2 linked regions of the Xenopus tropicalis genome follow. The protein of the gene in region 1 purifies or fractionates together with the protein of each later gene. This does not show direct contact. Links are inferred from orthologs where the notes say so. Each region holds a gene or a part of one and is shown on either strand. Other genes may lie near its edges.

The links.
Region 2: the proteins of setd1b (region 1) and cxxc1 purify together in Homo sapiens (affinity purification with mass spectrometry; 11 studies listed by BioGRID and IntAct, counting the BioPlex papers as one, with this or other methods). This does not show direct contact. The link is inferred for Xenopus tropicalis from reciprocal best matches to the Homo sapiens genes SETD1B and CXXC1.

What each region holds. Positions count from the first base shown.
Region 1 is NC_030677.2:162,156,598-162,160,891, reverse strand, and holds the start of setd1b (histone-lysine N-methyltransferase SETD1B), read left to right. Parts: upstream 1-1,191; 5' UTR 1,192-1,427; coding exon 1,428-1,500; intron 1,501-1,657; coding exon 1,658-1,812; intron 1,813-2,088; coding exon 2,089-2,187; intron 2,188-2,595; coding exon 2,596-2,866; intron 2,867-4,294. UniProt on the Homo sapiens protein: Histone methyltransferase that catalyzes methyl group transfer from S-adenosyl-L-methionine to the epsilon-amino group of 'Lys-4' of histone H3 (H3K4) via a non-processive mechanism.
Region 2 is NC_030684.2:1,159,291-1,163,104, forward strand, and holds part of cxxc1 (CXXC-type zinc finger protein 1), read left to right. Parts: intron 1-1,776; coding exon 1,777-1,886; intron 1,887-2,051; coding exon 2,052-2,152; intron 2,153-3,507; coding exon 3,508-3,656; intron 3,657-3,814. UniProt on the Homo sapiens protein: Transcriptional activator that exhibits a unique DNA binding specificity for CpG unmethylated motifs with a preference for CpGG.

The sequences.
Region 1 (4,294 bases):
ACCAAGGGTGAAACACACACAGCCATTTCATTCCATGGCAGATAATGGCTGCCTGCTCAGTTAGCCTCTCCTTGTGACTCTGATGAAGGATGTTTCGCAGTGCACAATAATAACTCAAAGGCAGATGCAAGCTGCGCACTGATTGGCTGCAGCATTCGGGAGAGCCTCTAAGCCAGCCGCTGACGTCATCGTGGCCAAGACCCAAGAAGGGGGGGCACCCACACACACAGCAACACAACACAACACAAAAATTAATCTATAACCGAAGGTAAATAACAAACACAGGGAAGCGCTTACGGATAATGTTGGCATGTCTAAATTACAATGTCTAAAAAGGATAAGACATAGAATTACCTTTTATTAGCGTCCAATTATTTAATGCGCGAATCACGAATCACCTTACATGTACATATCTTTGCCCCTCTCAACAGAGGAACTGGCCGTGGCCGCCTAACAGAACGTTACGTACCCATGTCCCAGTCTTTTCTGGGTTAATTAAAATGGAAGAGAATGCTGGCCCGGGGTTAATTCATGGATATGTACTATCCCCCTAGGAGAAAGGGGAGGACACATGAGCGGCTGGGAAACACTCCGAGTTAGCCGTGATATAAACGTCCGATTCATGGGATCGTGGGGGGGACACCATTACCCCACAGTGCCAAACCAAACTACACCAAATCAATCTTGTCCAACGACTGTTTAAGGGCGCCATGTAAACCCAATACGGCAGATTCCAATCAAGTCTCCCCCCTCCCGCGGTCCTCTTGTAGCCTGATAAAGAACGGGGGAATTCCAAGCCCTACAAAATAATGCCGGACCCTTGGGAGAAACCGAGGGCATCCCGATTTCGCCTGTTAAATACCGAATAGGATAGTTAAAATACCAAACCCCCTATTAGTATAAATTATATAGGTATATCTATACCGGCACAAAGTACTCATAGCCATAAATTAACCCATTCATTGCACCAGCTTTCGACTGGAAATGGGACGGGAGAAATAAAACACTTCTCTCCGCTACATAGTTTAAATAAGTGAATTCATTTAATTCTTCCAATAAATGCACGCATTTCATTAAAACAACGATTAGTAAATAGACATTAAATTTAAATTTAGCAGCGCCACTTGATGTGACGAATGTGCTAGGCGGAAGAGGAAGACTTGTTCCCGGGGCTTCTGGCTGGCTAGGGAGAGAGAGGAGGGAGGCGGAGGACGCGGTGCATTGTGGGCCGCCTCAGAGCGAGCAGAAGCACAGCTCACACACAATATGTGTTGGCTCGCCAAAAAGGAGCAGCCAGGGTCCCTTCCACAGCATGTCATGTAACCGGGGAAGGGGCCTGTGAAGCGGCTTGGCCTTTCCTGCGGGGCAAGGAGATAGCCCTGGGCGCAGGAGAGCTGAGGTTGGGGGAGTGGGGAAGGCGGGCAGGCATGTCTTTCAAGGAGGCCAAGCCTGGGGAGAGAGGCAAGAACCCAGAAGACCATGGCAGAAAGCAGACTGCAAGTGAGAATGGATCTTGTATAGTGTATCGTGCGGTAGCAGGCATGGAGGCTGAGGGGATAGAGATCACACTGGGGCTGTAGCTTGCCATTGTGTGTAGAGCTTTGCCTGCTGGACTGCCCCAGCTCCACTATTCATTTCTTCTGTTTGTGGCTTGCAGGCTGGATCAACGGGATGGAGGCAGGCAACCAGCCCAGTACTTCGGGCGAGAAGAAGAGTCACCATTGGCGGAGTTACAAGTTGATCATTGACCCTGCTCTGAGGAAGGGGCAGCACAAACTCTATCGTTACGATGGGCTCAGCTTTAGCATGCCTGTATGTGTTCCCGGCTCGTGTGTGTATTGGGGTTGGGGGGGAGTTCTCTCTTTGCAATGGTTTCGCTTTGTGGCTCCCTAACATTAAGTATTAGTGGTCTGATCCCAGGGATCCCTCGGCTGAGCCTTCTCCTGCTGTAATGCATTGCCCATGCGTGGAACTTGACAAGTGCATCCCGTATAGTGTGCCCCTGTCAGCGAGTGCAGCTTCCCTCTTGCACAGTGTGTGGTGGGGTGGGGGGCTTATATGTTTACTAACTGTCTTATTTCTTCGCAGAACTCCGGGGTCCCCCCTGTGGATTCAGTAAGAGATCCCCGGATCGGACGTATATGGACCAAAACTAAAGAGTTGGATTTGCCTGTCCCCAAACTTAAGGTATTATTGCTCAATGTATGAAGTTCTCTCGGATGATGCTAATTGGCAGACTGCCTGCTATCAGTACTATAAGTGATGAGCATGCCCCCATGTGTAGGCAGCAGAGAGCATTTGGCCAGACGTCTGTCTGAGAAGTGCAACATGTGGCTTCCCAGCAACGGTTCTTGCGCTACAGCTCGCAGCTTATCAGGGAAAGCCGGCCTGCCCTGGAATGCTGGGAGCAGTAGGACATCAAACAGCTGGAGAATCGCCTGCCGTAGGCGACTTTGCTTTGCCGTTAGATTGATATCGCTGTACTGTAGCCAAATGCGTTAATTGGTTCGCTTGCTTTGGCAGGCATTGACCTACTGCCCCGATGATCGCCCCATGTCCCCCCCTCTTTAATTCCATCCCTCCTTGTCATTGCAGATCGATGAGTTTTATGTGGGGCCAGTGCCCCCCAAGCAGGTGACGTTTGCCAAACTAAACGATAACATCCGCGAAAACTTCCTGGGGGACATGTGCAAGAAATACGGGGAGGTGGAGGAGGTGGAGATCCTTTATAACCCCAAAAATAAAAAACACCTGGGCATTGCCAAAGTCATATTCGCCAGCGTGAAGGGCGCCAGGGACGCGGTGAAACACTTGCACAACACCTCGGTCATGGGCAACATCATTCACGTTGAGCTGGACACGAAAGGTGGGTGCGTTAGGGCGCCAGGGGCTTCCCGGTCCTGCTGCCTGTGCAGTAACCCACCGAGCTCTACTGCGCTCAGTCCCCAGTACCAGCGAGTCACGTGTAGAGAAAGTGTTGTCTGTTGCTAGGAGACTGCAGTCCTGGCCTGTGTATCACTAAACTTTCTTACTCCTGTCAGTTTCCTGCTACTTTGTAGCACTTTCACTCATCTATTTTATACACTCCACAACGGCTCACCTTGTTCATTGTTTTTAATCCTTTTAAGTATTATACAGTGTGCTGTAGGGTTATTTACACCAATCCCTGCTTTTGTTCAGGTACAACTCTGAGCAGTGCTGGCTATTGTAGCTTGAAGGGAATGTTACAAAACCAAATGCAATTTTGCCCAATTAAATGAAATGCCATTTTAAGTTTTTCTTCCAGTATAAATTAATCAGAACATATAAATATGTTTACAGTTATCTGTAAATATTATTAATTTTCAAAGAAGCACCTGTCTGTCCCATTTGCACTGCTGGTTCTGTCTTTGTAGCTCTGAAAATGTGCAATTCCCATGTGCAGTTTCTTTCATAAGTTTTATTTTTGGGTTTACATCTCCTTTGATTATTGCTGGTAAGGGGGAGGGTAGTCATAGTCTGTATATACAGAATTGTAGACTGGGCTTCACTGACAAATTTATGTTTTATTTAATAATAAAGCCACAGACTTAGCATATTCCTGATGTAGGTGACTGTGTTGGCACCGCCATGCACATTTCTTATAGTATGGCTGTTTATAGATTTGTCCAAACAACACATGGAATAAGTGAAATGTTAGGAATTAATGATTTGTGCACATCAGTAGCTATGTGTATGCCCTAAAACAGCAACATCTGCAAAAAGCTTAGAATTTCAATCGGTAGATGTAGTAGTCTCCTGTTGGCAAATAGGTGTCAGTTGGTAATCATGTTTTTTTTTAATATTGCAAGTAAGTAGTGTAACTTCACCAGCAGAAGCTTTGTCTTTGCTGTTCATTTTATGGCCATCAACAGAGTGAATGGAGTTCCTGCTGCTGTGGAAAAACTACAGCCTCTGGCAACTACTCCAAAGATCTGCAGTAATTTATTAAGATTTTAGTTTTGCAGAAAACCATTTTATCAGTATCACAATGCTTTAACCTGGTAGTCATTGTTTAAAGAAATAGTAACATTAAAGGAACAGTAACACAAAAAAATATAAATGTATCAAAGTAATTAATATTTGCTATTACCCTGCACTAGTAAAAGTTGTGTGAAACTCTGCTATAGTTTATATAAACAAACCTGTGTAACTGTAGCCATGGGGGCAGCCATTTAAAAGATAAAAGGCACGGGTTACATAGCGGATAACAAATAAACTGAGTAGGTTCCTGTTGTGTTTTACAAACTTTTCCAGCTTGAATGACTGCCCCCAT
Region 2 (3,814 bases), on another chromosome or scaffold:
CCCCCCAGCATTGTACTAATGGGCCCCACGGGTACAGGGGGTTATACTGTGTCACACTGGCACTGCCCCCCCAGCATTGTACTAATGGGCCCCACGGGAACAGGGGGTTATACTGTGTCACACTGGCACTGCCCCCCAGCATTGTACTAATGGGCCCCACGGTACAGGGGGTTATACTGTGTCACACTGGCACTGCCCCCCAGCATTGTACTAATGGGCCCCACGGGTACAGGGGGTTATACTGTGTCACACTGGCACTGCCCCCCCCAGCATTGTACTAATGGGCCCCACGGGTACAGGGGGTTATACTGTGTCACACTGGCACTGCCCCCCAGCATTGTACTAATGGGCCCCACGGGTACAGGGGGTTATACTGTGTCACACTGGCACTGCCCCCCCAGCATTGTACTAATGGGCCCCACGGGTACAGGGGTTATACTGTGTCACACTGGCACTGCCCCCCAGCATTGTACTAATGGGCCCCACAGGTACAGGGGTTATACTGTGTCACACTGGCACTGCCCCCAGCATTGTACTAATGGGCCCCACAGGGTACAGGGGGTTATACTGTGTCACACTGGCACTGCCCCCCCAGCATTGTACTAATGGGCCCCACGGGTACAGGGGGTTATACTGTGTCACACTGGCACTGCCCCCCCAGCATTGTACTAATGGGCCCCACAGGTACAGGGGTTATACTGTGTCACACTGGCACTGCCCCCCAGCATTGTACTAATGGGCCCCACAGGTACAGGGGTTATACTGTGTCACACTGGCACTGCCCCCCAGCATTGTACTAATGGGCCCCACGGTACAGGGGGTTATACTGTGTCACACTGGCACTGCCCCCCAGCATTGTACTAATGGGCCCCACGGGTACAGGGGGTTATACTGTGTCACACTGGCACTGCCCCCCAGCATTGTACTAATGGGCCCCACGGGTACAGGGGGTTATACTGTGTCACACTGGCACTGCCCCCCCAGCATTGTACTAATGGGCCCCACGGGTACAGGGGGTTATACTGTGTCACACTGGCACTGCCCCCCAGCATTGTACTAATGGGCCCCACGGGTACAGGGGGTTATACTGTGTCACACTGGCACTGCCCCCCCAGCATTGTACTAATGGGCCCCACGGGTACAGGGGGTTATACTGTGTCACACTGGCACTGCCCCCCCAGCATTGTACTAATGGGCCCCACGGGTACAGGGGGTTATACTGTGTCACACTGGCACTGCCCCCAGCATTGTACTAATGGGCCCCACGGGTACAGGGGGTTATACTGTGTCACACTGGCACTGCCCCCCCAGCATTGTACTAATGGGCCCCACGGGTACAGGGGTTATACTGGTCACACTGGCACTGCCCCCCAGCATGTGTACTAATGGGCCCCACGGTACAGGGGTTATACTGTGTCACACTGGCACTGCCCCCCAGCATTGTACTAATGGGCCCCACGGGTACAGGGGGTTATACTGTGTCACACTGGCACTGCCCCCCCAGCATTGTACTAATGGGCCCCACGGGAACAGGGGGTTATACTATGCCAGCCTGGCACCTTTTAGGGTAGAAGCAAGAGATGGAAAGGGTAAAGACACTCTGCCCATGGGAAGGAATGATACTCAGAAGCTCACAATCTATGAGGAATAGGACCCCCCCCTCCCCATGTTGCAACAGGCACATTTCCCTTCCTGATCCCCTTAGTACAAATAGTAGTGGGGATAGGGCACAGCCACTGTGGCAGTTACTGATGGGGGGGTTCTTTGTTGCCCCAGGAGAGTGAATTTTCAGACGCGGACCTGACTGCGGCCGGGGACACGGAGGATGGAGAGAACGCCCCGGTGTATTGTATCTGCCGAAAGCCGGATATCAACTGCTTCATGATGTGAGAAATACACGTGTGTGATTGGGGGGGGGGTCATTCCATAGCAACATGCACCCCTCATCTAGCCAGGGGGGGCGTTAATGCCACTAACAGCCCATATAATGCCCCTAAGCTGACACCGTGCCCACTGCAGCCTGATCTCTATCCTGGTTTGTCTCTCGGCAGCGGCTGTGACAACTGTAACGAATGGTTCCACGGGCACTGCATCAACATCACCGAGAAGATGGCAAAGGCCATACGAGAGTGGTACTGCGTGCAATGCCGAGGTAAGCACCAAGGGGCATTATGGCAGGGGCGGGGGGTGTGGGAGGCAGTTCCGGTGGGGGTTAGAGGCCGGTAGGGCGGGGGATGTGGGGGGCAGTTCCGGTGGGGGTTAGAGGCCGGTAGGGGCGGGGGATGTGTGGGGGCAGTTCCGGTGGGGGGTTAGAGGCCGGTAGGGGCGGGGGTGTGGGAGGCAGTTCCGGGTGGGGGTTAGAGGCCGTAGGGGCGGGGGATGTGGGGGCAGTTCCGGTGGGGGTTAGAGGCCGGTAGGGGCGGGGATGTGGGGCAGTTCCGGTGGGGGTTAGAGGCCGGTAGGGGCGGGGGATGTGGGGGGCAGTTCCGGTGGGGGTTAGAGGGCTCGGTAGGGGGCGGGGGATGTGGGGGCAGTTCCGGTGGGGGTTAGAGGCCGGTAGGGGCGGGGGATGTGGGGGCAGTTCCGGTGGGGATTAGAGGGCCGGTAGGGGCGGGGGATGTGGGGGGCAGTTCCGGTGGGGGGTTAGAGGCCGGTAAGGTGCGGGGGATGTGGGGGGCAGTTCCGGTGGGGGTTAGAGGCCGGTAGGGGCGGGGGATGTGGGGGGCAGTTCCGGTGGGGGGTTAAGAGGGCCGGTAGGGCGGGGGATGTGGGGGGCAGTTCCGGTGGGGTTAGAGGCCGGTAGGGGCGGGGGATGTGGGGGGCAATTTCCGGTGGGGTTAGAGGCCGGTAGGGGCGGGGGATGTGGGGGCAGTTCCGGTGGGGGTTAGAGGCCGGTAGGGGCGGGGGATGTGGGGGGCAGTTCCGGTGGGGTTAGAGGCCGGTAGGGGCGGGGGATGTGGGGGCAGTTCCGGTGGGGGTTAGAGGCCGGTAGGGGCGGGGGATGTGGGGGGCAGTTCCGGTGGGGGTTAGAGGCCGGTAGGGGCGGGGGATGTGGGGGGCAGTTCCGGTGGGGTTAGAGGCCGGTAGGGGCGGGGGATGTGGGGGGCAGTTCCGGTGGGGGTTAGAGGCCGGTAGGGGCGGGGGATGTGGGGGGCAGTTCCGGTGGGGGTTAGAGGCCGGTAGGGGCGGGGGATGTGGGGGGCAGTTCCGGTGGGGGTTAGAGGCCGGTAGGGGCGGGGGGATGTGGGGGGCAGTTCCGGTGGGGTTAGAGGCCGGTAGGGGCGGGGGATGTGTGGGGCAGTTTCCCGGTGGGGTTAGAGGCCGGTAGGGGCGGGGGATGTGGGGGGCAGTTCCGGTGGGGGTTAGAGGCCGGTAGGGGCGGGGGATGTGGGGGGCAGTTCCGGTGGGGGTTAGAGGCCGGTAGGGGCGGGGGATGTGGGGGGCAGTTCCGGTGGGGGTTAGAGGCAGTAGAAATATATAAAGGTGTGCCTTTTGCCCACGTGCCAGACAAACACCCGCACCTTGAGATCAAATACAGACACAAGAAGTCGAAGGAGCGCGAGAGAGAAACGGAAAAGGATGAAAATGAAGAGACTGCAAAAAATGAAAAAAAGAAAAGCGGCAGCACCAGCAGCAGCAGCAACAAGGTACCCCGGGTAGGTACCTAATGTGTATTTACCTATATACCTGTGCTGCTGTACGTACAGGCTATGAGCAAACTTAGGGGGCTGTTCCTGCTGAATTGTGCTTAGTACAGGGGAATCCCTATGTGCCATAGTTTTATGGTATCTCTCTGTACAGGCTATGAGCAAAC